7 linked regions of the Canis lupus familiaris genome follow. The protein of the gene in region 4 binds, or shares a complex with, the protein of the main gene of each other region. Links are inferred from orthologs where the notes say so. Each region holds a gene or a part of one and is shown on either strand. Other genes may lie near its edges. The genes, in order: CWC22, CWC15, CRNKL1, PPIL2, CRIPT, SNIP1 and EFTUD2.

Evidence for each region.
Region 1: PPIL2 (region 4) and CWC22 share a complex: the UniProt entries of both Homo sapiens proteins name them as parts of the minor spliceosome. The link is inferred for Canis lupus familiaris from reciprocal best matches to the Homo sapiens genes PPIL2 and CWC22.
Region 2: PPIL2 (region 4) and CWC15 share a complex: the UniProt entries of both Homo sapiens proteins name them as parts of the minor spliceosome. The link is inferred for Canis lupus familiaris from reciprocal best matches to the Homo sapiens genes PPIL2 and CWC15.
Region 3: PPIL2 (region 4) and CRNKL1 share a complex: the UniProt entries of both Homo sapiens proteins name them as parts of the minor spliceosome. The link is inferred for Canis lupus familiaris from reciprocal best matches to the Homo sapiens genes PPIL2 and CRNKL1.
Region 5: PPIL2 (region 4) and CRIPT share a complex: the UniProt entries of both Homo sapiens proteins name them as parts of the minor spliceosome. The link is inferred for Canis lupus familiaris from reciprocal best matches to the Homo sapiens genes PPIL2 and CRIPT.
Region 6: PPIL2 (region 4) and SNIP1 share a complex: the UniProt entries of both Homo sapiens proteins name them as parts of the minor spliceosome. The link is inferred for Canis lupus familiaris from reciprocal best matches to the Homo sapiens genes PPIL2 and SNIP1.
Region 7: PPIL2 (region 4) and EFTUD2 share a complex: the UniProt entries of both Homo sapiens proteins name them as parts of the minor spliceosome. The link is inferred for Canis lupus familiaris from reciprocal best matches to the Homo sapiens genes PPIL2 and EFTUD2.

The regions. Positions count from the first base shown.
Region 1 is NC_049257.1:23,718,405-23,722,299, forward strand, and holds part of CWC22 (pre-mRNA-splicing factor CWC22 homolog), read right to left. Parts: intron 3,600-3,895; coding exon 3,464-3,599; intron 3,367-3,463; coding exon 3,160-3,366; intron 3,066-3,159; coding exon 3,003-3,065; intron 1-3,002. UniProt on the Homo sapiens protein: Required for pre-mRNA splicing as component of the spliceosome. As a component of the minor spliceosome, involved in the splicing of U12-type introns in pre-mRNAs. Promotes exon-junction complex (EJC) assembly.
Region 2 is NC_049242.1:6,114,959-6,119,541, reverse strand, and holds the start of CWC15 (spliceosome-associated protein CWC15 homolog), read right to left. Parts: upstream 3,087-4,583; 5' UTR 2,956-3,086; exon of another isoform or gene 2,873-2,955; intron 2,758-2,872; exon of another isoform or gene 2,641-2,757; intron 1,510-2,640; exon of another isoform or gene 1,497-1,509; 5' UTR 1,489-1,496; coding exon 1,358-1,488; intron 801-1,357; coding exon 688-800; intron 1-687. UniProt on the Homo sapiens protein: Involved in pre-mRNA splicing as component of the spliceosome. Component of the PRP19-CDC5L complex that forms an integral part of the spliceosome and is required for activating pre-mRNA splicing.
Region 3 is NC_049245.1:3,678,100-3,682,711, reverse strand, and holds the start of CRNKL1 (crooked neck-like protein 1), read right to left. Parts: upstream 2,919-4,612; 5' UTR 2,915-2,918; coding exon 2,741-2,914; intron 1,144-2,740; coding exon 991-1,143; intron 1-990. UniProt on the Homo sapiens protein: Involved in pre-mRNA splicing process. As a component of the minor spliceosome, involved in the splicing of U12-type introns in pre-mRNAs.
Region 4 is NC_049247.1:31,132,289-31,135,611, reverse strand, and holds the end of PPIL2 (RING-type E3 ubiquitin-protein ligase PPIL2), read right to left. Parts: coding exon 3,298-3,323; intron 3,188-3,297; coding exon 3,181-3,187; intron 3,027-3,180; coding exon of another isoform or gene 3,016-3,026; coding exon 2,800-3,015; 3' UTR 803-2,799; downstream 1-802. UniProt on the Homo sapiens protein: Has a ubiquitin-protein ligase activity acting as an E3 ubiquitin protein ligase or as an ubiquitin-ubiquitin ligase promoting elongation of ubiquitin chains on substrates.
Region 5 is NC_049231.1:49,890,777-49,895,457, reverse strand, and holds the start of CRIPT (cysteine-rich PDZ-binding protein), read right to left. Parts: upstream 3,031-4,681; 5' UTR 2,921-3,030; coding exon 2,905-2,920; intron 1-2,904. UniProt on the Homo sapiens protein: As a component of the minor spliceosome, involved in the splicing of U12-type introns in pre-mRNAs. Involved in the cytoskeletal anchoring of DLG4 in excitatory synapses.
Region 6 is NC_049236.1:4,998,674-5,003,328, reverse strand, and holds the start of SNIP1 (smad nuclear-interacting protein 1), read right to left. Parts: upstream 2,906-4,655; 5' UTR 2,771-2,905; coding exon 2,544-2,770; intron 2,404-2,543; exon of another isoform or gene 1,863-2,403; coding exon of another isoform or gene 1,861-1,862; intron 1,301-1,860; coding exon 1,198-1,300; intron 1-1,197. Other genes in the region: DNALI1 (axonemal dynein light intermediate polypeptide 1), read left to right, coding at 4,135-4,215, 4,635-4,655. UniProt on the Homo sapiens protein: Required for pre-mRNA splicing as component of the spliceosome. As a component of the minor spliceosome, involved in the splicing of U12-type introns in pre-mRNAs. Down-regulates NF-kappa-B signaling by competing with RELA for CREBBP/EP300 binding.
Region 7 is NC_049230.1:18,486,167-18,490,061, forward strand, and holds part of EFTUD2 (116 kDa U5 small nuclear ribonucleoprotein component), read left to right. Parts: intron 1-151; coding exon 152-230; intron 231-2,283; coding exon 2,284-2,359; intron 2,360-2,847; coding exon 2,848-2,913; intron 2,914-3,683; coding exon 3,684-3,719; intron 3,720-3,895. UniProt on the Homo sapiens protein: Required for pre-mRNA splicing as component of the spliceosome, including pre-catalytic, catalytic and post-catalytic spliceosomal complexes. Component of the U5 snRNP and the U4/U6-U5 tri-snRNP complex, a building block of the spliceosome.

The sequences.
Region 1 (3,895 bases), on a different chromosome or scaffold from region 4:
TACTAAAGCTGTGCCCACTTCCTGCTGTGGCCATTTTTTTTTATGCCAGTTCTAGAAGAACATTTCATGAAAGAATGAAGGTCAAATGAATTGTCTAGTCGTTTACATCATCCTCTCCTCATCTCTCCACTTGAGAATCTACTTACTGAAATTACTTAGGCAATGACAACTGGATTTCATTAACAGAATGAAGCAGTGGTTTCAAGGTATATAGTCTGATCCCCCTGGGGGATCAGTGACACCTGCCAGGTGATTTGTGAGGTCACAACTATTTTCATAACAATACCCAGACATTATCTGCCTTTCTTTGTGCTGCCATCTACAAAGGTCCAAAAGCAATGAGGGTTGAAGCTGCTGCAACCAGAGCACGAATCAAGGCACCAAAGTGCACCAGCCATCACTGTGCTCTTTACTGCCATACTCTCAGAGGTGGGAAAAGAGCCAGTTTGACTTGATAATGTCCTTGAGGAAGAAGTAGAGAACTGCTAACTTCACTGAATCTCACCCCGATATGTAAGCATGTATAATCATCTGAGTAGCAAAAGATGAATTCGTACACAGCCCTTCTGTTAAAGACAGATGCACACTGTCACGTGATGGTTATCTCAAAGAAAAGCACTTGTGAAACTCTTTGACTTGCAAGGTGAATCAGTGCTGTTTTTCTTTTTACTTGAGAGAATGACTGACACACTATAGTTGTTAGGTATTTGGCAGACATTTTCCCAAATACAAAGTGAGAATGTCACTTCAGGGAAAATAATTAACAGTATTTACTACCATGATAAAATTAGAGCTCTCAGGAGAAAATTAGAGAAGTGGTATCCATTCCTCCGAGCTTGACAGCTTTCCAATACTTAAACTTCTCTAAGGTGATACTAATAAATGTGATTTCTTGATATTGTGTTAATGTGTTCATTTAATTTTGATAATGTTAACATGTTAACACCTAGAAGACATGCATAACTGGGTGAATGGGCATTTTCTAAATGACCAATTGAACATGTTGGAAAATCATGCATGGGTAAAAGATCCATTCAAAGTGAGAGGCCAATGGAATTTAATGAATTAGAATATGAAGATTCATGAATATTGTTTCAGGTTTCACATTCCACTTAATCTTTAAGAAACGATTAGCCTTTAAATACTGGCAGAGTACTAAGGAAAAACATACACATTATCTGAAAAGGCTATTAAAATACTGATCTCTTTTCCAACCTCATATTACCTATTTTCTTCTATACTTCAATCAAAACAACCTACTGCAATAGACTGAAATCACAAACAATATGAAAATCGATTTCCTATTAAGTCAGACATTAAATTGTATAAAATATAAAACAGGCCATTTTTCTTAAATTTGTTTCACAAAGTAGTTATTTTCATAAAAGTATATAACTTATAATATGAACACTAAGTTTCTGTAATTTTGAAATGATATAGTATTTTTAATATTATCAGTTTTAATTTCTAATAAAGTAAATGTCAACAGATGTAACCCACAAAACAAAAAAGCTCTTTGAAGTCTTAAATACTTTTCTAGAGTATAAAGGGAAGTTAAGTTCAAAGAGCTTAAGAAGTGCTACAATAAAGAAAGTACTACTTTCCTAGCATTGTTCAACCACCGATATCCTAAAGAAATGGATGAGGAGTTCCTAAGTTAAAAAAAAAAATTCATATGAGGTATGATAAAAATTTCATAAAAACATTTAGCATCTTTGAGTGATACTGTAAAGAAAGTTCATAAGAAGGCAAAATGGGTCTAAGGAATTCTTCATGTTAAGAAACTGAATTGTAATAGCAAAAAGAATCCGGCTATTGCAATGAAATGCCCCTAGGAAAATGGCACCTGAGGAGAGTAATCTATTTATTGAAACCGGGATTTTTATAATAATTCATAGAAATGGAAAGCTGCTTACATCTTACTTTCTATTTCATTCTACTTCCAAGCCTGACAACAGCACAGAATGCAGGAGATTGACAGAGCTCTAGGGCTCCTGCTCTCTCTTCCTGAGAGCATTTAGAACAGTAAATACTTCTCATATAAAAACACAACTCAAGGGAAATAAACCCATAAAATTATAATTATACAGATAGCCCTGAAAATTAGCTTTAGAAGAAAAATGATACAAATGTCAAAAAAAAGTGCATTACCTAAATACTTGCCCTGTGATAATACAAAGCACAATATTTTTTACTTATCCTTAAACAAACAAGTAACATTGACGTCAAACAAGTAATTTGTTCCAGGTCACTTAGCTAGTAATGGCACAGACAAAATAAAAACCAAAGTCTATCCAAAGTTAGTGCTCATAATATACTGATGACATACAAATGATAATAATAATTTATTAATTTTTCGAGCACTAATAGCCTATCTGGAATTGTGATTGATTTTATCAGGATATCAACTTACTCTCAAGAAATCATAAAGCATAAGATCTAGTTGAATATTAAACTGGGTGTCAATTTAAGCGCCAATTCTTATGTGGTAGTGAAGTTAAAATAAAGGCCGCTAGTAATATAGGGACTTTATTTTTTAAGATTTATTTGAGAGAGAGAGCAAGCATGCACAGACAGAGGGGAAGGAGAGGAAGAGAATCTCAAGCTGATGCCTCACTAAGCATACAGCCCACAGCAGACCTTGATCTCAGGACCTTGAGATCATAACCAGAACTGAAACCAAGAGTTGGATGCTCAATCAACTGAGCCAGCCACTCAGGAACCCCTATATGGACATTTCTTAAGAGGAAAGAGATTTAAGTAAGGTCTGTATGATTTGAATAGAGGGAAAGAGGACAGGGATAATAAGGTAAATAATTTAGAATGAAGTAGACCACAAACAGCACTAGACAGAAAAATGATGCATGGGAAAATAGTGAGGAGAATGGCTTCCTAAGAGCAGAGATTTCATTAGGTCAATAATCTAAACCTTTCTATTAGTATTAATAGAACTACACAAATTGCTTCTACTTATCCAAAATAGATTATAAAACTCTACATACCTTTCTTAATAGCTTTGTACTTCTCTTCATTCTCCATAAAATTAGGATCCATCTTGAAAACATCTTGAAAAAATAAGTTAAAAATTATTTATTTTCTATATTTACATTTATGGTGTCCTACTTCCCAACTCCCTCTGCCCCCCACCATCCAACTCACTAAGAACATCTTCTGGATTATAGTCATCCTCCAGAGGGAGCATATGGGTGAATTGATCATCTTCTTCCACTAAGTCCAGTCCCTCTAGGATAACAGGGTGGTCCTTGAATCCATCCTTCCGTACAGCAAACATCACTTCAATCATATACTGAACTCTTTTGTCAATTTCAGACTCATGAAGAATGTTTCGGAGGCGCTCAAATATAGCTAAAGTGAAAGTGAAAGAAAAAAAACCAATAAAATAAGCAAAAAATATTGTAATACTCAAATAAAGCTCAATGTCAAACCAAAGGTATATACTTACCATTGATTCCTCTTGGTGACACTTGTGTTAATTTGAGGCCACATTCCTTGAGGAAACCAATAGCTACTTCAACACTATCATCTGTTGGTCTTTCCAGGAGCAAAGTGAGCATCTCTAGGCATAAAACTTCATGTGCCTTAAATAGAATGAAGACATATGGAATAGAGAAAATGCTTTCACATATATTAACCTACTGTCAATAGTAATTTAAAAAATTAGCAAATCGGTTTTTGTAGCAATAATACTGTTCATATGATGACCAAATTTTAGAATGCATACAGAAATACTCCAAATATGGGATACAATTTTTCTTCACTTTCATTGTATCTGTTAAAACTTTCTAGATGATTGATTCAGAAGTCTAAATTTATTACATTTACTACAACTATCTCCAAAAGAAATAATTCTTACACATTATATATAGGAAATAAT
Region 2 (4,583 bases), on a different chromosome or scaffold from region 4:
ATGTGCCCTTGGTCACATGCCATTTGTTGAACGAATTAATGAAAGTATTGATTTTAATATGGGAACTGTAGTCTCTCTCAGGGAATTTAGGGAATACTTTACATATGTTGAAAATACAAAAAAGACATTATAACTTATGCCCCTAGATGCCTTCCAAAACCCAGTGACAAAAACAGGAGACCCTCACATAGAGAAAACACGAAGCCTTAAAAAGTCTCGTTGCTGTAAACAGTCAAAACCTTTAGGAGTGCCTACGTGGCTCAGTCTGTAGAGCATCTGACTGTTGATTTTGGCTCAGATCATGATCTTGGGGTCCTGGGATTGAGGCCCACCTGCTTGAGATTATCTCTCCCTCTGCCCTTCCCCCTGCTCATGCACATGTGCTCTCTCTCAAATAAATCTTAAGACAAAAACCTTTACGTAAACTGAAACAAGAACTGCCAGATATCCCCAGATCATCCTGTTCCTTCTGCTAAGGAAGCACAAAGAGATGGAACTGGAGTCAACTCTAATCTAATCACTTAAGAAAGTGTTACCAATCTTAAAGCAAACAATACTTTATATTGTTTACGCCAACATTTTAAAGCAAGCAAACAAAAAATATTAATCAGCTCCAATTAGCCATGAAAGAAAAACCATTGTCAACATAATTTCATGATGACAAATATCTGGGGGCAGTGTTGGTACCTCTTGTTGGACGGTCTCTGTTTTTTTCTCTTGCAGCAGCTCTCTCTCTCTCTTCCAGCTCCCTCCTGAAGTCACGGTTGCGAACCTCTTCAGGGGCATCCTGAGTAGTTTGTCTAAAGCAGAAACAATTTGGTGAAAATATTACTAAAAAGATACATGGCTGTAGCAGGGGAAGACAGTTCGCAAAAAGCCACTTTGTCCTCAAGTTCAAGGAACTAAATGAGATCATTACCCTAATCTGAAGGTCACTAACAGGCATTCTTGTAATGTTTCCAACGTTTCAGAAAGCCCAAACTGAGTCACATATTTTCCCATAAGGCTGGGGAGTAATTAAAATGTCTTTACTTTTTGTTAGTACATCAATTCAGGGCTCATTAGTCTGACACTTTTCACCTCACACTGAGTAGTGCTGATAGTGGATGGGCCCTGAGGTCACTGCTATTGAGCCATCTACATACGGAAATTCCCAATTAATAGGGATTTCTGCATAAGTAGTACATGGTAGTGTTTTAATAATCAGAGCACAGTTTTAATGTTAAACACTCTATTGCATTCTATCCCTATGAAAATAGGTTAGTGATATACCCCAAACACGCTAGAATCTCATGAGCATGCCATTTAACAGATTTAGTCTTGTCTTCTGAACAAGAAAATAAAAAGTCTTCATTACCTATATTTTATCTTTGTATGAGAAGGTAGGTCTCTACTTGAATACTGCTTTGAGAGTTGGCTCAAATCACCTTCTCCTTTTCCTCTCCCACCTCTTGCAGGTTCAAAAGTTGGCCTAGCTGCTGTTGTCATCTTTTATGCTTTAAAGAAAAACTGTATCAAGTTATTTCCAATATGATATATTCTCATTTCATAAGATATTAATAATATTCATCCTTGTGAAATAATTTCCAGAATTCATTCTCCAAAATTAATAATCTCAAACAAAAGTTCTCAAGAAAACACATAATGAAGCTCAGGGTATATAAGGAATATAGCTTCTTAGGCAACTCTTATTTAGGGCAAAAAATTCTCTCATGAAGATGGGAGTTGGTGTTCCTGTTCTCCTTCTGTATCTGGGGCCCTGGGCAAGTCATCCAGCTCCAAGTTCTGAGGAATGGGCAATGTCCCCCACAGGGTTATTATTAGAATTGAAATGTCAAAAAAAAAAAAAAAAAAGGAATTGAAATGTCAAAGCCTTGCAAAATTTAGTACTGCCAACACTGAGTTTTAAAAATTCTCAGCTTTATGGGCAGCCCAGGTGGCTCAGTGGTTTAGTGCCGCCTTCCGCCCAGGGCCTGATCCATGGAGCCTGCTTCTCCCTCTGCCTGTCTGCCTCTGTGTCTCTCTCTCTCTGTCATGAATAAATAAATAAAATCTTAAAAAAAAAATTCTCAGCTTAACCCTAGTCCACCAGATGCCCTAAGGTTTGCACTTAACCTCATACAACAGAAAACAGGCTACTAACTACAAAACCAGGTTGTTTTAAAATCACCGACAAGGTTACGGAGTGTCCTGGAGTAAAGTAGGCTAAACTTTAAGGACAGTTACACGGGCAGGATTCTCCAACAACCTTTTGTCGGTCCAACTTTCTTCTATAGCAACGATTAGAATACAAAGCAGATTTTTGTAGGTGACGATGCTCATGAAAGGAAAGTCACCACCAAAGGATTCCGATAAACAAAACTCGGGGACCCCTTCCGTTACTTCTGGCTTGGGGCTGCCAAGAGGGGTGCCTAGCAGACGTGGCTACTCAAGTCCCGTCGAGCGTCCGAAAAGCCAGGTGCGGGGAACCGGGGTGGGGGAGGCGGGCACTGAGTGTACGTCCCTCGATTTTTTAAAAAGGGAAAAGGGATCTGCGCCGAGAGAGCCCGGGTTTCCTGCCGCTGGGGGCGCCGCCGCCGCCCGCACACTCCCGGATTTCGGTCACTCCCGCCTCCCGGGGGCTGGCCTTCGGGCTGTTACCAGAGGCTCGCTGGCTCTTCACCCCGAGGCCCGACTCGCAGGGGGTTCGGGGGAGGAAGGGGTGTGGACCCCGCTACCGCCGCCCGCCTACTGCCTTCACGCTGCGCGCTCCGCGGCCGCCGCCCGCCCCCGCCCCCGCCCCCGCCGCGGCCCCTGCGCCCACGCCCGGCCCGCTACCGCCGACTCCGGCCGCTGCCGGCCTTCCCCGCCCCACCCGCGCGGGACGGACAACCTGCTACCCTCCCGCGGCACACGTCGACCAAGGTCTAACGCGACAGCCTCCGCAAGTCACACAGACACCATGACGACTCTCACCTCCCAGCAGCCTCCGCGCCCAGGACCGGGCCCGAGCCCCACGACCCGGAAGCAAACCCCGGCTCTTCAGCCGCACTTCCGAGGCCGAGGCGGAGACCAATCGGCAGCAGGCGGGGTGGAGGTCGGCGTGATGACGGCGGGGGGCGGGGCCGAAACGGCCCAGGGGGCGGGCGTTTGAAATCCGTGCTTTCGAGTAGACCCGAAACATCGTTTTATACCTTCAAGAGCCAATTACTTAATGTCTCTCGCGTCCTTCCCTTCCCCGACCCCCTCCCAGCCTCCTTCGTTCCGCCGCTGCGTGGACGGAAAGCCCCGGGTAGCGGACCGCGAGTCCCCGGCTAGCGGGAGGGAGCGTAGAGAAGGATTACACCCAAGTGTTTAAAGCCAACGGCTCCGGCTTCCTCTCTCCTGAGCTAGACCCAGCCAGCCTAGAGTGGGCTGCGGAAAAACTAGTGTTTTCATTTAATTGGATATGAAGAAAGAACAAATATGTACGGGGGCAACCACGATCTTTATAAAGGTACCATTCCTGCAAAAATACTAGTCTTCAAGGCAAAGGTTGTATTCGTATTGTTTGTTAACATTTCCATTTTTTTTTAAAAAAGCCTGAGTTCTAGCGGGAGGGGAGATGTCACTATTAGAGATTCACTTATTAGCCCGATGATGAGCGTTTGGAACGCTGGGCCCAACTGCCAGGAGCGCGAGATGCAGTTCCTGGAAGATGGCTACTCGGGCGTTGGGGGAACTTTTAATGAGACAACGAACGCCAGTCGTCCGTTCTCCCTTTTCCAAAAAGCACTGGGAGCAGGGAGCTCGTTTGTTTAGTCCATCTTGGTATCTCATCACATGGTCTTTGGCCACAGTAGATGCTCAATAAATATTAGACAGATGAAAATTCAGCATCTCCAACTTGGTGTCAAATATAAACAGCTCATAAAATCGAGCATTAAAAAGCTTTATTTCCAGAACTCTTCCTTTGAAACCTGTAAATTCTTTTAAAAAGTAGAAGCAGCCCCTTCCTTTCTGAAGGTCAAGATAAAAAATTTTTCTCTTAGGGATGGTGTTTCTCCCCTAGTTTTGTACGTCTCAGTAAAGGACACTGCCAGGTACCACTTATTAAACCAAAACCTCAAGGCTCCTGATTAAATCCCTTTTACTTGACTCCTCACATATAGTTTATTTCCAAGACTTGTCCATTTTACTTTTAAAGTATGATACCCAAAATTTCATTCCCCTGCCACTACCCTAGTTCAAGCCACTGGGATTTTTCACCTGCATTATAATTGCTCCCTAATGGACCTTCCTGCTTCCACTCTGGCCCTACATACGGTTAATTTTGCAGATAGCAGTGAGAGTGATCTTTGAAAGTTATGGATCAGGTAGTGTTACTCTTCTGCCTAAAAACCCCACTGCACTTAGAATAAAGGTCAAATTCTTTAATGTGACCTGAGAACCCAAGGGGTCTGGTTCCCGCCTATCTGCCTGACTTCACTTTTAATCAGACGTTCTTTTACATATTGAACTCCAGCCACAGCCAACAGGGCATTTCTGTTTCACAAAGGATAAGATTTCCTTTGCACTGGGTTTTCTCTTGCCTGTGCCTCAAGATAACCGTGTTAACCTCCTTC
Region 3 (4,612 bases), on a different chromosome or scaffold from region 4:
AAATATATACTTTATACTTTTTCCTAGCATGGAAATGTTCTTGACTATTTCTACTAGTCCTCTCAGTAATGTCTCAGAATTTCATACATCACTCTTTGAACATCACTAATAAGTAGATAAAACAGGCTTAGTGGTTTAAAATTATCCTACAGGTGCCTGAGCGGCTCAGGTGGTTAAGCAGCAGACTCTTGAATTTGGCTCAGGTCATGACTTCAGGGTCATAAATACAAGCCCTGTGTGGGTTTCCACACTGAGCCTAGAGCCTGCTTAAGATTCTCTCTCTCCCTCTGCCCCTCCCCCTGCTTACACGCTCTTTGTCTCTTGAAACAAACAAATAAATAAAATCTTTTTTTTTAAAGATTTTATTTATTTATTCATGAGAGAGAGAGAGAGAGAGGGAGAGACAGAGAGGGAGGCAGAGGCACAGACAGAGGGAGAAGGAGGCTCCATGCAGGGAGCCCAATGCGGGACTCAATCCTGGGTCTCCAGGATCATGCCCTGGGCTGAAGGCAGTGCTAAACTGCTGAGCCACCCAGGCTGCCCAATAAAATCTTTAAAGAAAAAAAAAAAAAAAAAATTACCCTAGAGTGAGGATTCTAGGGTGAAGAATCCAAGTCCTCTCTCAGCTCTTTTCCAGGTCTCAATTCTTACCATAAAATGTACAGAGAGAGTACATAATGTGACCTTGGTTAAGACCAGCCCCTTCCAACTGTCAGATGTTCCACTTGTTAAACTTCCATCTTTGATTCTGCACCAAAAATTATGTCTCTGGTGGACTGAATCTCTTTATACTTTAAAAGACAATTCATGGCATATTTTGTAAAGTTCAGCAAAATGCAATTATTTGGTAACCAGGAGTTACATTACTCATGTGGCTAGAAACACTAACCTATTCTTATAGCCTCTCTAACCAATGAGGAATTCTGCAAACTTTGACCTATAAAGTAATAACAATGTTATTAATAGACTGAAAATATCACCCTGACTGACCTTCCTTTTTCTTAGTTTGTAATCATTTAATTCTTCTTCATCTGTGATCTTCTGTTGAGGTGGAGGAGGAAGAAGCTCAAGTTCTCTTTCTTTAGCTTCTCTTAAGAGTTGCTCAGCAGTTATCTGTACCTCAGCTGGGGCTTTGTTTTTCACCTTTTAAGATAGAAGATATTCTCATTTTTAGTAGATGCTCATCACACAAAGTTTAGGAAGCAAAAAGACATTTTTTTAGGATGGGAACTTTGTATTATTACAAGATGCCCTCTTCATATGACAGGTTTTCATTTCTCTATGAAATTAAACAGAAAACAAAGTTTTCTTTCTTATGCATGGTATTTATTACAAAGCCATAGGTAAGTCTTCAGAGAAAAGGTAGCAAAAATAGCAAGTGTTCTCTTTTAGATTAGAATAATAATAAACCTTGAGGCTGCTCAGGTAAATTCTCACTAGAGGTGTTTTATGAAGATGTGTGCTGTATCTTTCCTAGTGTTACACTCTCTATTTACAGAACTTTTCAATTATGCCCCATGTGGATGATAATGCCTCAAACTGTGTTTGGTTGTTTTCATGGCATTTCAAATCAAAGACAGTTCAATAAATTCCCATAATTAGACAGACCATAAGTTTCTTGAAGTCTTAGAGCTGTGCTGTCCAACATAGTAGTCATGAGCTAATGCAGTGAGCCCAAATAGAGATGGACTGTAAGGGTAAAATATACACTAGATTTTGAAGACATAGTGTGAAATAAGCCAGTAAACTGCCTGATTAGATTTCCTATGTTGATTACATGTTCAATTAGCAATATATTGGATACAATGGATTAAAGAAAATATACAGTTAAAATTAATGTCACCTGTTTTGACTATTTAATGTAGCTACAGGAAAACTTAAAATTACATAATGTGGCTCACACTGTATATCTGTTGGACCACTGGTGCCCTGTAACATTTTATGGAATTGGATTATAAGAAATATTGTTTAATGCCATGTGTGGAATGACTTTGATAATAATGACTACAGCTCATATGCAGTCACAGATGCTGTGCTATGTGACTTAAACGGATATGTAAAGGACAAGCTCAAGAGAGCCACCTGGGCTGGAGAGACAGACTGGAGTGAGGGCGTCCGTAAAGGTTCAGGGTAAAGCCCGTCACACATTAAGCACTCAGTGAGTATCAGTCACCGATGGAACTATCATATAATACCAAACTTACTGTTTAATTAAATTAATGCCACTACACAACCCATGCCCTCTCATTCTTTCCAGGCTCAGGGGGCCTAACTCCTAGTCAGCCACCAGGTGTCGGCTTAAACATCACTTCCTCAGGAAAGCGGACTCGGCATACCCCTCATACAAACCCCATCACTCCGCGGCATATCCTACGCCGCCTCACTCGTATTCGGCAAGGTGGCAATTTCACATTGGCTCGTGTCATTTGTGAAAACGGCACATTGCCCGCGTTAGGTCGTAGTTCCTTCCCCAGCGCCTAGCGCGCTGCCTAAATCCTGCCGAATGACCCCACTCCTCCCTCCGCAAAAACACGCCCTAGAAAGAAGGCCGCGCCAACGCGGCGTGGGAAGGGAGCGTCTCCGGGGCGACAAAAGCCTGCGCCCCACCGCCTGCCAACCCTTCCACTCGATCCACACGGGGTAGGATGGCTCTAGGCAGTCTTCCGCCGCGGGCCCCGAGGAGGCTGGGGCAAGCCCCTCTCCGGGGCCTCCTCCCACAAAGCCCTTCGCGGTCTCCTACCTTCGCCACTTTGGGAATCCTCTGCTTCCCGGCAGCGGTGGAGGCCGCCATGGCTGCAGCACAAGACCGCGACTCAACCTGGACCCCAGAAATAGACCCCGAGGGCTGGACAGAATCCCAGGGATTTCCGACAACAAGCGAGATCCCAAAACAGGAAGCGGAAGTTGCTGGCATGACCTTTGACTTCACGCACGCGCCGTGACGCCGGCAACTTCGTTTCTGTGGTAACCGGGCTGAGCGTCCTCCTCGGAGAGCAGTGTCTCGGAGTTGCGGGAGAGGTGGGTAGTGCTGGCTCGCCCGACAGGGGCGCGGGGACGGAGTCCGGGGCGCCAGGGGCGCATCCCCAGGTCAGTCTCCGGAACTGGGAGGACTTGCGAGGATGGGTGGGTCGGTCGAACCGTGGCTCCGGGGAAGGGCAAAAGGAACAAAGCTCCGATCCGGAGGCTTGGGGTCGGGGCAGAGAGGTAGGCCAGAAAACTTCCTTTCCCAGCATGCCAAGGGGCGAGCTGCTGCGTTCCTAGGTGGCCTGGCGCCGCGTTGCGTTCTAGGTTTTGTAGTCTTGGAGGTCTCTTTTTTTTTTTTTTTTTTTTCTGGACAGTTGTGCACAAGTGAAGTAACTGAAGGCATCTTAAAGCCAAATAATAGAAAAAAATGAAAATAAATCATCAAAGTACTAGCAAATAAACCATCCTTGTGGTCAGATAAACAGATGCTTAATTTTTTGTAAATGTGCCTTAATTACATCAATTCTCTTAGCCCCATGGTGCTTAGCTGTGAGACAAAAAGAATAGTATCTATTTTATCATCATTAAGGAGAAAATCTATGTAAAGTGCTCCGTAAATGTTAGCTGGTGTAATTCTTGACCTATCTTCAAAAGAAAAAGCTAATTTTATGCAAGCAAATAGTGAAGAGAATTTTTTTTAAAAAGACTTTTTAAAATAGCAGTTTTAAGTTCACAGAAAAGTTGAATGAAGGTACAGAGAATTTCTGTTTCTCACACCTGCCGTCCCGTTTGCCCCCACAATCGATATTCCCCGTGAGAGTGGTACATTTTTGTAATTGATGAACCTACACTGACAGCTCATTATTCACAAGTTAACATTAGGGTTCACATTCTATGGAATTTAGTGACCTGTATCTACCATCATAGAATGGTAAAGAATAGTTTTTCCATCCTAAAAATCCTTTGTGCTCCATCTATTTATTCCTCCTTCTCCTTTTGCCTCCTATAACCACTGATTTTAAAAAATTTTTAGGGCTGCTTTTTTTCAGAATGTTGTGTCATTTGCATCGGTATGTAGCTTTTTTAGAGTGGTTTCTTTCACTTGTTATATGCATTTGGGCTTCCTCCCTGTCTTCGTGGTGTGATAGCTCACTGGTTAAGAAATTTTTACAATTGCAAGGCTCTTTTGGTATTCAGAAAAAATATTCATAAGTATAAATATATGTGTGTATTTTATGTATTTAAATCTATCTCCGTAAATAGTGCTATTGAGAAAACGTTAACTGAAGTCATTTGTAACCAGTATAAAAATATTTGCCATAGCTCTGTTCTACCTATGTACTTATTTAAATATTTGTAAGTTATCTCACTTTTCAAATTTTAAATAAGTTGAATGAGATTTTATATGACTGAAATAAAGTCGCCTAACAAAATAAACCAATAACTATTAAAATAAAAAAAAAATGTTTCCCTTTTGTGATGTCCCTTAAACTTGTAACTATACTTAACTGATTTAAGTTTAATCTAGCCTCCTTTCAGAAACACACTTAGAATGTTTTATTGCTGATTGTCTCCTTCTATCTCACAAGTTTTTATTGTTTGGTAATTCGATCCAGTTTTTTGTTTTTTAAACAAAATTTATAATCAT
Region 4 (3,323 bases):
GGTCCCCCCCAGCTGGCACTCAAGCACCTCCGTCCTCAGCGCCCCTTCGCCGCGGAGCGTGTACCCGTCGCTGCAAACCTCGCCTAAACCCACCTTCGCCGCCTCGGCTCCTCGCCCGCCGCGGGACAGGGCCGCGTCCCGACGCCCCGCCGGCTCCTCCCGGAAACCGAGGGCGCTCCGAGGTCTTCTGAGCGAGCCGTGTACATACTGAACTCCTATTTAAAGCTTTTGTATGTTCTGGGCAAGTTTACTGCTCCTCTGATTTGAGCACTTTGGTTTTTGTATTGTCTTTTGTGATGGCATTGAAACATTTTTACCAGTGGTCTTAGGCCTTCTTTTGTACTTTTTGGTTTTTTTTGTTTTTGGTAACTGATACCAACGAAAACTCAACACTTTTTTTGTTGTTGGTCTTCCGAAAAATCAAAATCGAAGCTCCTTTCGAAACCAAATGAACAGACCGTGAGCTGGCTCCAGGGAAGGACATTCTCGAGACCACAACCAGATATGCTGGTGGAGTGTTGGAATGTTCCACCCTTTTAAATCCCTAAACAGTAAATATCATCCTGTGTCTTTTATTTAAATTATTTAAAGTATTTTTGTCCTTGAAGAATGGGGAGGGGATGCCAGGACCATAAATGCATTTAACTTAAAACTATGTAGTGTTTTCTGGCGCAGCACATCTGCTTTAGAAGCGTGGTTTAGTTTTGTTGCCGTTTTATATCTACATATATATATAGTATTTTTGTACCTTAACACTTATTCTTGATGGCATCTGTCAGATACTAGGCGAGATCAGACATGGGAATTTTTCCAAAAGTCCTTTAATTTACCTGGTGACCTCACCAGGTACTTACAAAATCTGAGTGGTTTTAATATCTAGAAAACTAAATTCCAGAACAACCTACAGAAATGTAAACCCTTGTTTGTCAAAGACCCTTGGGTGGATCTGCAGCCAGGGTGGCCCGGGCCTGCCTGGGGCCAGGTGAGTGTGGCCACTGGGCGCAGCTGGAGGGACGGACAGATGGACAGCAGTCCGAAGGTTTGCCCCTTTGAGCAGGACTGCCAAGCTCACGTGCACAAGCCTCCTTCAGCCTCCATGTCCAGCCCTCCGTCCTCTGTGTCTGTGTGAGGTTGAACAATAAAGCTTCCAATGTCAGACCTGTCCTTCTCAGTCGCACGTCCTGTCCCGGGCACTCTGCTCTCGGCCGACAGCCCCGGCTTCCTGCTGGGAGTGTTGGGTCAGGGTCTCCGAGCTCCTGTGGTGGCTCTGGTCTGGTCACCTGGGCTCCCCCTCCCCCAAAGGCTGCAGGGGAAGCCTTCTGGGACACCCCCTCTCCAGGGCCTCTGCCCGCACCCAGAGCCACCAGCAACTACTTGGTGGCCTGCAAGTGTGTTCACTTGGCTGTCACCACACGCAGCCCTCTCCTCCTGGGTGAACCCGGATCTTGGAGGCATTTTGGGCACAGACACTGGGACACAAGCGTTTCACCAGCTATCAGATGTCTGGATGTAGCCGGGAGGGGTCGTGATGAGGTTGTGAAGAAGAGGGCCAGGCCTGGCCATGGGCACAGAGGGCTGAGTGGTCACCGTAGAGCCCCAGGCCCTGGCTGCACTCACAGGCAGGGTATGCAGAGGGCACGGTGCGTGGGGGGCACAGACCTTGTTCTCACACGGAGGCGAGCCACTGACTGCTGGGAAGCAAAATGCCAACAGGCTGACGAGCTCTGGGAAGGTGACCCAGATGGCATCTGTGTGGGTGTGTGCAAGGGACTTGAACAGAGGCAGGTGAGACAAGGCGTGGGTCTGGGGTTTCAGCATCCAAGATGGGAAAAAGCAGAGCCCAGGTAAATTCTGGAGCCACTACTGACACTCACTGATGGATCTGAGGTTTGGGCGAGGGGAAGAACCGGGGACAGAGCCTCAGAACGATAGTGTGACAAGCTGGAGGGGGTTGTGGCCTATGCTGACTCGAGGACTAGGTCTTGGGAGTGGGGGTGAGGGGTGGACAGCTATCCCCACGCTCCTGTAGAGGTGCTTTGGGAAGGCCGAGGTAGTGGTGTCAGTGTCGAGAACGTGGAAGCCACGCAGGCACACGCTCCAGAATGAACAGTTAGTGAGAAAGGGCAGGCAAGCAAGTGCTAAGTTTTTTTTTTAAGACATAGAAAAATAAAAAGGGAAGGGATTTTTTAAGTCCAGAAACGCTGGTGAGGCTGGTCTGGAAGCCCTAGTGCTAGGGCAAGGGGTCAAGTGTTTGAGCCAAGGAGGGACCCTGAGGGTGGAAGGGGGGTCACGCCAGCTGGGCAGGGCCTTCGGCGCATCCATCAGTAGCAGCAGGAACCGGAGAGCTGCTCCACGGGCGCTCCTGTGCCTGTCCTGAGGCAGAGAGGCAGGAAGTCCTGGGTGCAGCCCGCACCTGGGCTGGCCAGAGCAGGCCCACGGGGAACATGGCTGTGACCACCCAGAGTCCCTGCTGGGTGGGTGGCCAGGCCCCAGTGAGTCCAGGCAAGAGGCAGCAGAAGAGGTTTTAGAAACTAATGGCAAGGCTCCCATGCAGGGTCCTCAAGCCACTGGCAGCGAGAGCCCCCCAAGGTGTGTCAGCAGAGCGCAGAGCCTGCCCCGAGTCCCCAGATCGGAAGGTCCGGGGTTTGCGATTCTGTGTGTGTAACCAGGTCCCAGGTGATACACTGAGTACAGTCCCTGAGACGACGACAGCCGGGGTGGGGGAGGGTGGGAAAGCCAGAGTCGGGGGCCCTCCTCGCCCACACTGCTGGCTGGTCTGCGGGCCACAGGAAGGGGGCCTCAGGCAACAAGCAAGAGCTTTAGCGAGGTGTCGTCAGACGGGCAGGTGACGAGGCAGGAAACACGGGGTTGTGGACACAGGCCCCCGGCCCCCAGTCCCCCCCGGGGATCCAGAGGGGCAGACCTGCTGCTACCATGAGCTGAAGTCCCCAAAGCCTCGGCTGGGCTTCTTCTTGGCCACAGGCACAGCTGTACTGGTTGAGGGCTCTTCCTCTGCTACACGTTTCCTGGAAAGAGAAGGATCAGTTCCTCGAGCTGGAGGCCCACGCCCGCCCACGCCCTCCCACGCCCTCCCACAGCACCTGCTGCATGTGACGTCACAGCCACGCAGTCCCCACCCAAGTCCTCAATCTCCAGCCTGCACGGTGGCCCCCAGGACACCTGCTCACTGCTCAGCCCCGAAGCCTGGTGCTCCCCCGCCACTGGCACATTGTGGCCTGTGGGCCTTGGGAAGCCTGGAGAGCACCGTGCAAACGGCCAGCCCCGCGCTGCACTCACGTGGCTGCTGGGTTGATGTACTTGCC
Region 5 (4,681 bases), on a different chromosome or scaffold from region 4:
TAAAGAGAAGTAAAAAAGACCAATGAATAGTATTAAAGATCTTGGAGAATAGGAATTGTACACTTTTAGTGGTACCAATTGGTTCATTTATGAGTTTTCCCCAGTGGCCTTCACATGCATGCAGGACAGTTTAAGGAGAGAAGAGGCAAAAGCAGAGAGAGCACAGTTTGAAGAGAAAGGAGCTGGGAGGGGATCACATTAGTTTAACTCAAGAGTGATGGGGACCTCAGGTAGGTTATTTAAGGGGTAAATGAGAGGCTAGGGAAAATATGAGCTATTGAATGGAAGTAACAATAGCAGGACAGGCAAGTGTTTGGATGCAGGTTGACAAAGGGATACCAGAACGAATGAGCGATGAATAAGGCTTTATGAATGGGTGACTGGGAGGACTGCCATGCCATTAAATGATGGAAGAGAAGTTACAGATTTATAAAGTAGGATGACAAATTCAGTCTTGGAAGTACTATACTACTATGTAACAACCAGATGAAGGGTCCCAGTATTGTCTGGAGAAATTTCTTCTATTGGTCTTGGTATAGAGAGAAGTCGGCTGGAGATGTGGATTAGACATTCACTGGCATGGATAAACTACTTGAAGCCAGATATTTCCAAAACAAAGAGTCAAAAGAAGGGCAGATGTCGATCACTGGGAAATATCTACTTTAAGGGAGAGGGAGAATAAGAAAACTTGGAGATTATAATGGTAAAGAAGAAGAGAAGTAAATTCAAAGAGAATCTAGATCAAGTTTCAAAGTCACAGAGAAGCAGAAAGGGACTGAAAGAAAGGTCTTTGAATTAAGAGTCTATTTTTATTTGGGGAATAAGATGGTACAGAAGGTAGAAAGGTACTAGAGCAAAGAAATAATACAGACTTTCAGAAGTGCAGAGAAGTAAAAAGCAAATGACCTTTATGACATATATCACGTCCCAGAGCCAAACTATGTGTATTTTAACATCACATCCGATCTTGGCTTCTCAAAATTTTTATGTGCCTTAGGAAATTACCTCTCAGAATTTGCCCAGTATCCTCAATTTTCCTGGGAAAAAAGCACTTATGGTGTAAAGAACATCACACAAAACAAGTTAAGCCCGTCAGAATGCCAGGCCTCTAAAGTTAAAATGTACCGAATTAACACAAATTACAAAGAAGGCTAATTTACATGTTTAGGAACTACCCTACATAAGAGAAAAGACATGGAGAAGGTGCATAACCTAAATATATGTAAGACATAGTTACTCAAACAAGCAAAACCAAAAAACCTCATAAGTATTGGATGGAGTAGAGTTAAAAGGACGTCAATGTCAAACAGCTTAATGTACTTTTTGGAGCAATGAAAATATTCTAAAATTGATTGTGGTGATGGTCGCACAACCCTGTGAATACGCTAAAAATAACAGAATGGCACATTTTAAATGGGTGACTTCTACCTATGCCAATTGGTAGAACTGCAATAATTTTTTAAAAGCTTCATGTGAGATGATGATGTAAAGCATAGAAAAATGAAAATATCAGTCCCACTCTACTCCTCATAAAATGGAGCAGAGTTTAATGCTGAGTGCCACATACTGGGAGTTATGATAGGAATAACCAGTTTTTGAGTATACACTAAGGCACTTTTATATCAGGCTTTACCTGCATTATCTAATTCTCACAAAACCCCATAAATTATGTATTATTCTCATTTTTCAGAGGAGAAAACTGGAGCCAAGAAATATTAGGTAATTCACCATGGTTATTCCTTTACATAATGTAAAACCTGTGATTCAAACTCATGGGTGCCTGTGTTTAAAGGTTTATCTACTGGGGGGGAGGGGAGAATATAAACAGAATTGATCAAGTTAATGTTAATCCAGATAAGAGGACTTGAAATCTTGTTAAGAAAAGTCTAGCCTGAGGAAAAAGAGACTTAGGGATATGAGAGCCGTTTTAAAACATATAGACAGTCTGTGACATCAAAGAAATCCTAAGATACTTTCCAGAAACATCAAGGGTTTGCATTAGAATCACTGCCTGGCAACTGTAGGGATGAAGGATCTTTTCTTTTCTTCTTTCTTTCTTTCTTTCTTTCTTTCTTCTTTTTTTCTTTTCTTTTCAGATTTTATTTATTTATTCATGAGAGACACACAGAGAGAGCCGTAGAGACACAGGCAGAGGGAGAAGCAGACTCCATGCGGGGAGCCCGATGTGGGACCCCAGGTCACGCCCCGGGCTGAAGGTGACACTAAACCGCTGGGCCACCCGGGCTGCCCAAGAAGGAACTTTCTAAAAGCCAGTGGCATCTACGCAGACTGTTTTGAAGGTAGTGAGGCTTTCTGAACCCTGCCTCAAGACCTCAGATATTCATGCAAAGAACATTTAAGTCAACATTTAAGGATGCTAACTTCGGGTTGCTCGTTAAAATACAGGATGCCCTGTTCAATTTAAATTTCAAATAAACAATGAATGGTGTTTTAGTATTGTCATGTCCTAAAGGTAAGCCCAAAGCACTTTCAGTACTAAGAAGCTGCGAGCAAAGACAAGTCTCAAATATCGCATGGGATATACTTCTAAAAAAAGTATTCATTTTTAAAATGTCTGCTATATCTGGAAACTCTGGGTGTTGTAAAAATGACTTTTAAGATCCATTCCAATGCTGAGGGTCTGTGAGGCTAAGGAGCCAGTCAAGAGCTGTATGGGATGAAATCCCGGGGTGGGGCTGGGGGAGGCAAAGGAAATAGACAAATCAGTACAAAACTGAGAACACTCCGAATGCAAAACCAATGGGAACGGTGAAAGGGATAAAGGACAAAGGCTGGAATCAGAGACTTGTGGCCGAAAGAAAAGACAAAGAAAAGGCGAAGTCCCCGGAGAACTCCTGCTAGCTTCTCCTGGCCTCCTCCCAAAGAGTCAGCCCCTTAACTCACATTTTTCGCACACCATCCTTCCCCGACGGTTCCCCCGGCCGCAGAAACAGCAGCAGCTCGAGAATGTCAACACAACAGCCGGGGCAGACGTCCCCTTCCGGGTTACGAAAATCCGCTTCCGGCCGCCCCGCCCTCCGCCCCGCCCACCGCCCCGCCCACCCCACACCTGAGAGGCCGTGGGAGGCGGGGCTTCTCCCATTGCCCGCCCCTCCGCTCCTGCAATTGGCTGTGCCGCCTTGGGTCTCCGCCCCACAGGCTTGCGCCTGCGCGTTGGCCAGGGCGGCGAGTCGTACCTGATGGTGGGAGGTGGTAGCTCGCGCTCCTCTTCCGCTGGCGGGAGAGTTAGGTAAGCCCAGCGGCGCCCGCCCGGCACGCGAGCCTCCCGGGGTGCCAGCGGCCCCCACCCACTGCCCACGTGGCCGCGAGCGTCTGTGCCCCCGGCCCGCTGGCGCCCGCCGCCCGCCCGAGGGCCACCCTTCCGGCGTGACCCGGGGGCAGCCCCGATGGACCCGGCCCTCGGATCCGTCCCTGTGTGTGGCGCCCTCCGTTCGTCTCGGTCTCCGCGCCCGTGCCCTTTTGCTTATGCCTCTCAGCGCGGCCCCGCCCCCGTTCACACTGGCGCGGGGTGAGGCTCGGGCAGAGTCCCGAGCGGCCGAGGTTGGCGGGGGGCTGCAGGGGCAGGTGCCGCGGGTTGCGCGGGTAAGCTCCGCAGCCTCCGGGGCGGTGGGCGCGGGCCGGGTCCGACCGCGGGGGCGGGGGCGGGGGCGCGGGCGCTGGCCGCCGGGGTGTGCTCGCCAGGGCCCACCCCCGCGGCTGCTTTCGCGGGGGGGCAGACCTTTGGCCCACCCTCTTCTCCTCGTTCGTTCGTTCATTCATTCAGTAAGCAGTTGGGTGCTGCTCCGTGTATTAGAGCCTCATCTGCCCATATCACTTGGGATTCTGAGAGCGGCCCAGAAACATACCCGAAGGGATAGTCCGCTCAGACGGTGTATTCCGGATCCTGCGCCCCTGCCCCTTGGTCAGCGGATCTGCCAGAGAGGTTTCCTTCCTCCCTTCTTGCTCTTCATCCCCTTCTCGGCCCCTGGAGTGTAGATTTATGTCAAAGAGGCGAGGGTTTGACGTGGCTATAGTGCTTGGGAGCTTGGGACCTTGGACATGTCTCCCAACGTGCCTTAGCCTGTTTCCTTATCAGTAGAATATTTGCCTTGGAAAATTATAATGTGAACTAGATCAGAGCTGTAAAGATAAGGCCTTGACTTGCCCTTTTGTTTTTCTGGAATATTCAACCACAGTGTAACATGGGTAACATGTGGACTGTTACTTTGATATTAGCCAGTACTATGTATAAGCTCTGCGTTAGGTAATTTATAAATAAACATATATGTTATACATACCACGATGTGTATTTTATAGAGAGAAAGAAAGATTTTTCTTCTACTTATGCCCTACTTTTGATTGGAACCTAGCACCTGTAACGGACATTGTCATTTCGGTATTTCTGGAGCATTGGGATCCCTTAGTTTAGCATAATGTTCTTTGGCCTTTCCTGATTACACTGGCCACCATTTGAGTCCTGAAGTGTGCACTTGGTATTGCTTGTCATTTGCCAGAAGAGGTGAACTACTGTGATGTTAGACAAGGGTCCCTAGTGGTTACAAAGAAGAAAAAAAAGCAGTTTAGTCAGAGTGTATCCATGGATCGGAGAACGCATAGCTTATATTTCCAACCAGAGCAAATCATTAATCTCTGCGTGTTTGTTTTCACCGTTGTGATTTCG
Region 6 (4,655 bases), on a different chromosome or scaffold from region 4:
GCTTGAACTCACAACCCTGATTAAGGATTAAGAGCCAACTGCTCTACCAACGGAGACAGCCAGGCATCCGTTTTTGGTTTCTTTTTTTTTTTTCTTTTTTTGAGATAAGGTCTTTAAAGACATGATTAAGTTGACAGCAAAGCCCTAATCCAATATGACTGGTGTCCTTATCTGAAGAGGAAGAGACACCAGGGATGCAAGCCCACAGAGGAGAGGCCATGTGAGGACCCAGCCAAGAAGGTAGCCATTCGAAAACCAAGGAAAGAGGCGTCAGGAGAAACAAAACCTCCTAACACCTTGACCTTGGACTTTAGCCTCCAGAATTGTGAGAAAATTAATTTTTGTTGTTTAAGGTATCCAGTCTGTGGTATTTGGTTATGGAAGCCCTAGAAAACCAACACAGCCCTCCTGGAACACAGTCTGGCATGCAATCACCATGCCATTTAACAATGGCACACCTGGGCACTTATCCCAGAAAACTGAAGACGTGTTCACACAAAAACCTGTATACAAATGTTACACAGCAACCTTATATACACAATAACCAAAAACTGGTAACAACTCACTTGTCCTTTAATGGGTAAAGGGTTAAAACCACACCACTGAGTATCACTCAGCAATAAAAAAGGAATCAAATACTGACAAAGACAAGCTGAATGAATCTCCAAAGAAATGTGCTGAGTGAAAAAAGCCAATCCCTAAAGGTTAGACGGATGATTCCATTTACATGATTCCATTTACATAATGTTCTTGAAGTGACAACCGTTATAGAGACAGAGAGCAGATTAGAAGTTGCCAGGACTTGAGGGGTTAAGGATGAGAGACAGGCGGGTGAGACTATCCAAGGACAACCCAATGGGTCCTTGTGGGGATGGAAATGTTCGCATCTTAACTGTCACGATGTCAATACCCTCCCGGTGATACTGCACTGGAATTCTGTAAGATGCTACCAGTGGGAAAAACACAGTGAAGAACGTACCTCTGTATTTTTTATTTTTTAAAACAGCTGAGTGTGTAAATCAACAATTCTCAAAATTTTTTTAAAAAGGTGTCACAAAACAAGTAGAAAAACAACAACAACCCAGTTTCTAGAAACACCCGCTACGGATAAAGGTAAACACCTAGGATCATGTATTTGTCAGGACGGTAAGAGATTCTAGATTTGGACCTGGTATCAAAACATCTCGGTCCGCTTACCTGCTTCACTTTGACTGTCGAGTGGTGAGGGCTTCGGCTTCTCTTACTCCGAGGAGACTTGCTTCTTCTCCCTGAGGACTTGTTTTTCCTCTTGGCTGGGGACCTTTTTGGAGCAGGGTACACACAGGATTTTATCTCAATTTCCCTTCCCCCATATACACTCACAGTCAAGTGTCAGGCTTACTTACTAACAATACAAACAGCACATCCAGTGAAGGGCTCTGCTTTTCACACCAAGGAAGGCGGGGAGCTCCGCTCTCCAGCCCGGGACACCCTCCTTGAGCTTCAGACCCCCCCCCCCCCCCACACACACACACACAGAGCTGCCTCTGGAGCATTCTGAGAGCCTGACTCTTGCTTCCCAACCCCTCAAAGCCCTTTCCTCCCTCAGCCTCTGCCATCTCAGTAACGGGTATCACCATCCACCCTGCTTCTCAAGCCCAAAAAACCCAGAGAACCCCCCGTGACTCCCCTTTCCTTTCCCCAGCAATAGCTCCCGACACTCTCCGGCAACAACCACGTCAATCCGACAGCGAGTCAGTCCTCCGGCTCTAGATCGCCTCTCTCCCCTCCGTTGATCCCTAAACGACCCCTCTCCACCCCCACCCCGCACTCCCACTTCTAGAACAATCACATTAACCGGGCTTCAGCTTCTTTGCGCACATGGGTTTCCCCAGCCTGGACAATCCTTATCGTTCGGGTCTCAACGCAAACCGCACGTTTTCAGAGGGGCCTTCCTTCTCTCGCTTCCTTCCAAGGCTCGCTCTCACACCTCCGGTTGGAGCCGCTTCTTAATACTTGTTACATACGGAAACTATTTTATCGGCCTTGTTACTCTGTCTCGAGGCGGGAGCACACCCATTCCATTTCGCCGGGGCAAAGGCCGCACGAGGCCCCAGGAGCGACGGCTGTCTTTCTTCCTTTAGCAACGCGCTCACAACTTAAGTCGAAGGAATACACGGAGCAGTCCAGCAAGAGATGGTTTTTCTTCCAACTGCCTACCAGGTGGATCGCCTGGGCTGCCAAGGCGGAGGGCTTCTGGGGCAGACGTCTGGAAGGCCTAGTAGGCCGGCAGCCCATGTGCGGGCAGATGCGGAGGAGCCTTTATTTCGGGTCCATATGCGCGGTGTCCGGGCAGATGCGGGGCGCAGGGATGAGGGGGGCGGGATCCTGCGCATCAGGCAGGGGCCGCCGTAAACGCTCTCCCGCACAGCGCCACCGGCTCACCCCCCCCCCACCCCCTTTGACATGAAACCCGAGCAGCCGCGCTCGGCTCCCAAAACGGGGCTCTGACGCCAGCCCCGCCCCTCCTCCAAGTCCCCATCCCGGGCGCCTCCCCCACTTACCGGCTGCCTCCTCGGGCTCGGCTCCCGCGGTGCCCAGGGCGGCCCGGGTCGCCGGCCGGCGGGGACGCGCTCCCGCCCGAGGACTCGGGGCGGCGGTGGGCGGGCGGCGCGGCTTCCGGGCTCAGGCGCTCCTGCTTCACCTTCACCACCATCGCCGCCGCCACCACGTCCCCGTCGCGGTGCCTCCGCCGGGTGCCCCGCTCCCGCTCGCTCTTTACCTCCTTCATGCTGAGATACGAGCAGAGAGCGAAGCGGGGGAGGGAAACAAAACAAAACAAACAAAAAAAAAAAAAGAGAGAGAGAGAGATCCGTTGCGCTCCTCTCGCTAAAGGAAACGACGGGCTTGACCCCCCGCACTTCCGCTTCCGGGTGCGCGCTCTCCCAGAAACCCTTGCGGCGGCGAGCGAAGCACGTGACCACGACCCTGCAAGCGGGAGGGGCTGTCGGGAGCCGCTCGGGTGGCGGGAGTTTTAAACGTCAAAGAGACGCTTCTGGGCAGCCCGGGTGGCTCAGCGGTTGTTTAGCGCCGCCTGCAGCCCGGGGCTGGATCCTGGAGATTCGGGATCGAGTCCCACGTCGGGCTCCCTGCGTGGAGCCTGCTTCTCCCTCTGCCTGTGTCTCTCATAAATAAACAAAATATTTAAAAAAAAAGAGGAAACAGAGAAGGAAATGCAATCACTGACAGCCCCCCGGGGGGGTGGGGGCAAGTCATTACTATCTTCCCTGCTAGTCCTGAGCTTCGTGTTATGTTGTCACTTCTCCATTTAATTTAAAAAATGAATTCTTAATTTATTTACTTTTTTACTTTTTTTTATTTATTTTTTTTTACTTTTTATTTTCAAGTCCTTTCTAGAGCCAGCGGTGGGGCTGGAACTCCCCACCCCCATATCGACGTCTCACCCTCTACTGACTGAACCAGCCAGGTGCCCCTCGCCCCAACACAAATACTTTTTAAAACTGGGGAGCAAAAAAATTATTTTTAATTTTTAAAAAGAAAACCAGGGAGCTCCGGGAATCCCCGGGTGGCTCAGCGGTTAGCGCCTGCCTTTGACCCAGGGCGTGACCCTGGAGACCCCGGATCAAGTCCCACGTCGGGCTCCCTGCGTGGAGCCTGCTTCTCCCTCTGCCTGTGTCCCTGCCTCTCTCTCTCTCTCTCATGAATAAATAAAATTAAAAAAAAAAAAGAAACCGGGGAGCTGCAGGTGCCTCCCTCTGGGAATCTGCAGATTCCCAAGCCTCCACCGAGGAGTCACAGGGCTCCCATTCTGCAGGTGACAAAGTTGGCGGCCAGCGAAGGTGACCGTGCGCCTCGTTGCAATGGCCTGCGAGCCGCAGCGTGGGGACTCCGTTCCCGTTTGGCGTGGTTTTCCAGGAGCATCAAGGCGACCCGCGGGGCAGGAACCGCGATCAACCGAGCGGGAGGAGAATTCCTGGCGAGGCTGAGCGGGAACTCTGCGCTGCTGGCCCCGCCCCATCCGAAGCCCCGCCCAGGCCACGAGGCGCGGCGGGGGGGCCGGGGGGTTTCCATGGTGACGGCAAACAAGGAGCACGCTGGAGGGGCGGCCGCCGGACTCGAACCCGCGTCGCCGCCATGATCCCCCCTGCGGACTCTCTGCTCAAGTACGACACCCCGGTGCTGGTGAGCCGGAACACGGAGAAGCGGAGCCCCAAGGTCAGGGCGGGCCTGGGGGGCGGGGGAGCCCGGAGGCTCCGAGGGGCGGGGGGCACCCGGGGGGCACCCGGAGGGCTGGTGTAGGGTGAGGAAGCAAGCCCCGGGGTGCATGGGGCTCGCTGTCCTGCACACTGGTCCGGTCGCGCTCGCTCCATCCCCAGGCCGCTGAGCACCTGCGCCTGCAGCAGCGGTTCCAGGAGATACAGACCTTGGGCCGGGGGTGGGACCGCAGGCTCTCTCCACCTTCAGCTGAGACCTAACTTATGCTGAGAAGAGAGAAGGGGCAAGTGAGCTGCGAAGAGGGGAGCGCTCTTCAGAAGACCTGGAGCAAGCCGGGGGGTGGGGGTGGGGGTGGGGGTTGGGTGTGTGCAGGTCACCGTCTGCGTCACCTCCTGCCCAAACTTGTCCCTCCTCCTCAGGCACGGCCACTGAAGGTCAGC
Region 7 (3,895 bases), on a different chromosome or scaffold from region 4:
CCCCCCCCCCCCCCGTGCTCGTCCGCGTGCTCTCTCTCTCAAATAAATAAATCTTATTTTAAAAAAAATGAAAGCTCCGTCTAATGGAATGGGGCTCTGCATTTTTATGTTTCATGCCAACCTGTACATCACTTCTTTTTTTCTCCCCTAGAACCTATTATTAAGCCAGTGAAAACCAAGAAATTCACTCTGATGGAGCAGACGTTACCTGTCACGGTGTATGAAATGGAGTAAGTTATAAGGTCTCAGTGTGGGTTCATTTTTCTGTGGAGGTAGGAGGTAGTTTATGGTTGAAGTACCTAGTAAATTGTAAAAGTAAAAATCCTCTCCTACAATTTGCCAGAATTTTCCTTGAGCATACATGTTTGCTGGAATGTGTAGAGTCCATCTTAACTTTTCTCCTGCCTCTCCTTCAGATCTCAGCCTTTTCTCTTCCAATTCTTTAGTTGGGTATTAGAAGCTGGCCTTTGAGACAGAACTGGGGATTGTAATCATCAATGTTGGGGCAACCAGAGCCTATTTTGACTTGGTGAGAATGCTGTTTGGGGAATATAACAACTCTTTATTATGGAAAGGAAATATTCTACATGTGTAGAGTACTTTAGATTCTTTGTACTGCAGACTTTCTGAAAATATTTTCATTGATGAAATGCACTTGTAAGGTCCTCATATATTGAAGTGCTTAGAACTCATTTATTAGATAATGAAACTTTTCTTTGTTTTAAACATGTTGAAATCTACTGTGTCTAAAAGAGTGGGATCTGGGCAGCCCGGGTGGCTCAGCGGTTTAGCGCCACCTTCAGTCCAGGGTCTGATCCTGGAGACCCGGGATCGAGTCCCACGTCTGGCTCCCTGCATGGAGCCTGCTTCTCCTTCTACCTGTCTGTGTGTGTGTGTGTGTGTGTGTGTGTGTGTGTCTCATGAATAAATAAATAAAATCTATTAAAAAAAAAAAAAAGAGGGTCCCGGGGTGGCTCAGCGGTTTGACGCCTGCCTTTGGCCCAGGGTGTGATCCTGGAGACCTGAGATCGAGTCCCACATTGGGCTCCTGGCATGGGGCCTGCTTCTCCCCCTGCCTGCCTCTGTCTGTCTGTCTCTCTTTGTTTTGAAGAATGAATGAATGAATGAATGAATGAATGAATGAATGAAATTAAAAAAAATAAAAGAGTGGGATCCCTTCTGAAATGGTCAGCCCACCTGCCAACATTCAGCCATTTTTGAAAAACTTTTCAATTATCTTTAGAACTTGCTTCAGATTCCTGTGTGTTCTCAGTGGTGGTTTTTAAAATCTCCAATCTTTTAAAGTGGGCTTGATATTTCAAAGAGTCAAAGTCCTCTGAATTAATGTGGTAAGCAAGAAAGTGCCGTTCTGATCAAGATGGAACTCCTCAGCATCATTAATGAGATGGAGTTTTCTCAAAAGTTTTGTTAACTAGCTCTAAGGGCAATTTCTTTCTTTCTTTTTTTTTTCTTTCTAAGGGCAATTTCAAAGGAGAAGCTGGGGTGCCTGAGTAGCTCAGTCGGTTAAGCGTCTGACTCTTGATTTCAGCTTGGTTCACAGTCTCAGGGTCATGGGGATTGGGCCCCACATCAGGCTCTGCACTCAGCCTGGAGTCTGCTTGTCTCTTTCCCCCTGCATCCCCCTCCCCTCTCTGCTCGCTCATGCTTGCTCTCTCTCGCTCTCTCTCTAAAATAAATTTTAGGGATGCCTAGGTGGCTTAGCAGTTGAGCGCCCGCCTTTAGCTCAGGGCATGATCCCACGGTCCCGGGTTCAAGTCTCACATCGGGCTCCTTGCATGGAGCCTGCTTCTCCCTCTGCCAGTGTCTCTGTCTCTCCTTGTCTCTCATGAATAAATAAAATATTTTTTAAAAAATTTATTTTTAATCTTTAAAAAAATAAAAGGGAAACTCTCAAAGTGATTTTAAATCCCCTTTGCATCAATGAAATAAATGTGTGGTATCTAATCTGAGGATTTTGAAAGGGACAGTGCTGGTGTATGTGCGTGCATGTGTCCTTATATTTGGTTTTGCCTTTCTTGCTTACTTTTGAAATCTCATGATTTTGCTCTTGAAACCCATTTCATGGGTTGTGTCATGTCATGGATAAGTCTGTTCCATTTCCAGAGCCAAACCCATATAGATGTAGAAATTCACATCTGCCTCTGAGCATTCTCCAGTTGGTCTGAAAATTGTTCCTGACAAAATTCATGAAACACTTTTGTACCACTTCCCATTTGGAAGCTTTTGCCAAAGTCCCTTTTCTCTTTTCCTTTCTCCTTTCAGCTTCTTGGCAGATCTGATGGATAATTCAGAGCTCATCAGAAATGTAACCCTCTGTGGCCATCTCCACCATGGCAAGGTGAGAGAACTTTCAGCTACTTGGAACACGATTTCTCTTAGTTTCTGCTCATTTATTCAGGCCTCAGAGTCACAGTTGGGGTTTGAGGCCATCATGATGGACCTCTGATAATGGGGGACCTCCATGCTTAGTGTGAAACTGTGCTATGAAATTCTAGCTTTTCCTGAACAGTGGATGGAGCCTGTTTCTAAGCCACTTGCAGCCTTGTGTCTACATCTGTACAGAAGAGGAGAAATTGAGCCTTACTCTCATTTTATAAGTTTTCATTTCCTGGGGGAATGCTTGTCCAAGAAAGATTTCATCTTTCATTTGAAGATAATCCTATGGCTTCAGTGGCTTCAGTATTAATCCCTTGCTGTCCCATAATCCTCCTTGCTCTCCTCTTCCTCTCTTTATCCCTAAATTAGGTGGTGTTTTGGGCACTGAGGGAAGGGTAGAGTAGATTTTCCTTTGTGCTTGGCACATCTTAACCTTCTCTTCTCTTTCAGACGTGTTTCGTAGATTGTTTAATAGAGCAGACTCACCCGGAAATCAGGAAGCGCTATGACCAAGATGTAAGTAGAAATTCTGTGGAAGGTTTAGGATGAACCATTCAGAATATACAGGGGTGTCGCTCTCCTTCCCCTTCCTTCTCACTCTCATTATAAATAATGACGCCTACAAAGCGCTGCTTTATAATTGTAATCTCTATTCATAGCCTTAAAGAAAGTAATTTTAACTTTCTTAGGAGACTAGAGAATATTAACCTGCAGTATTTTTGGATGATCTGTTCTGCACTTGGGATCTTTCCTCTGTTCTGATATATCCTGACTTTTATAGCCTATTCTTTCCTGTCATGGTATTAATAGCCTACTCTATAAATATAATACAATTGGACCTTGTTGTTTTCTGTGATAAATTTAAATGCCTGTGAATGAGGCCAAATGTGGCTGCAGGTCTCAGCGCAATAAATGTTCCATGTCTGCTAGATTGAGTGTTTTGACGTGTGGGGGGTTCCATAAAGGCTGGATGTGTCTCCCTTTACTACTTTAGGATTCAGTGCATTTGATAGAATTTAGCTCTCTCCAGCCATACCTGGTCCTCAGGGACCACCCTGACCCCCTCCTACCCAACCCCCCTCCAAAAAAAAAAACATCCATCCGGGAGCATTTTCTATCTGAGAGGGCCTTGGTTTTTCTGTAGGATACCCTTCTGTCTTCCATCTAACCTCCTGAGACAGAAACCCTTGGGTTGGGAGCTGGTGGGGGAAAGTGATTGATGGTTTGTATGGGAGAGGAGTCTGGAGTCAGGTGGTAACAGCACTTCATTTTTTTTTTTTTCCAAGCTATGTTACACTGACATCCTCTTCACAGAGCAGGAGGTAAGTGTGCCTGGGGAAATCTAACTGCTGCTCACACCAAACCCAGCAGGAGTTTTTCAGGGAATGTGGGGGAGCCTTTATGCTAACACTTTGCTGTGTACCACACCCCTCTCTCATTGCCACCTCACACCTCTTTATCTTGCTGCTTCTCCCAGTCATCCCCTGATCTAGTACTT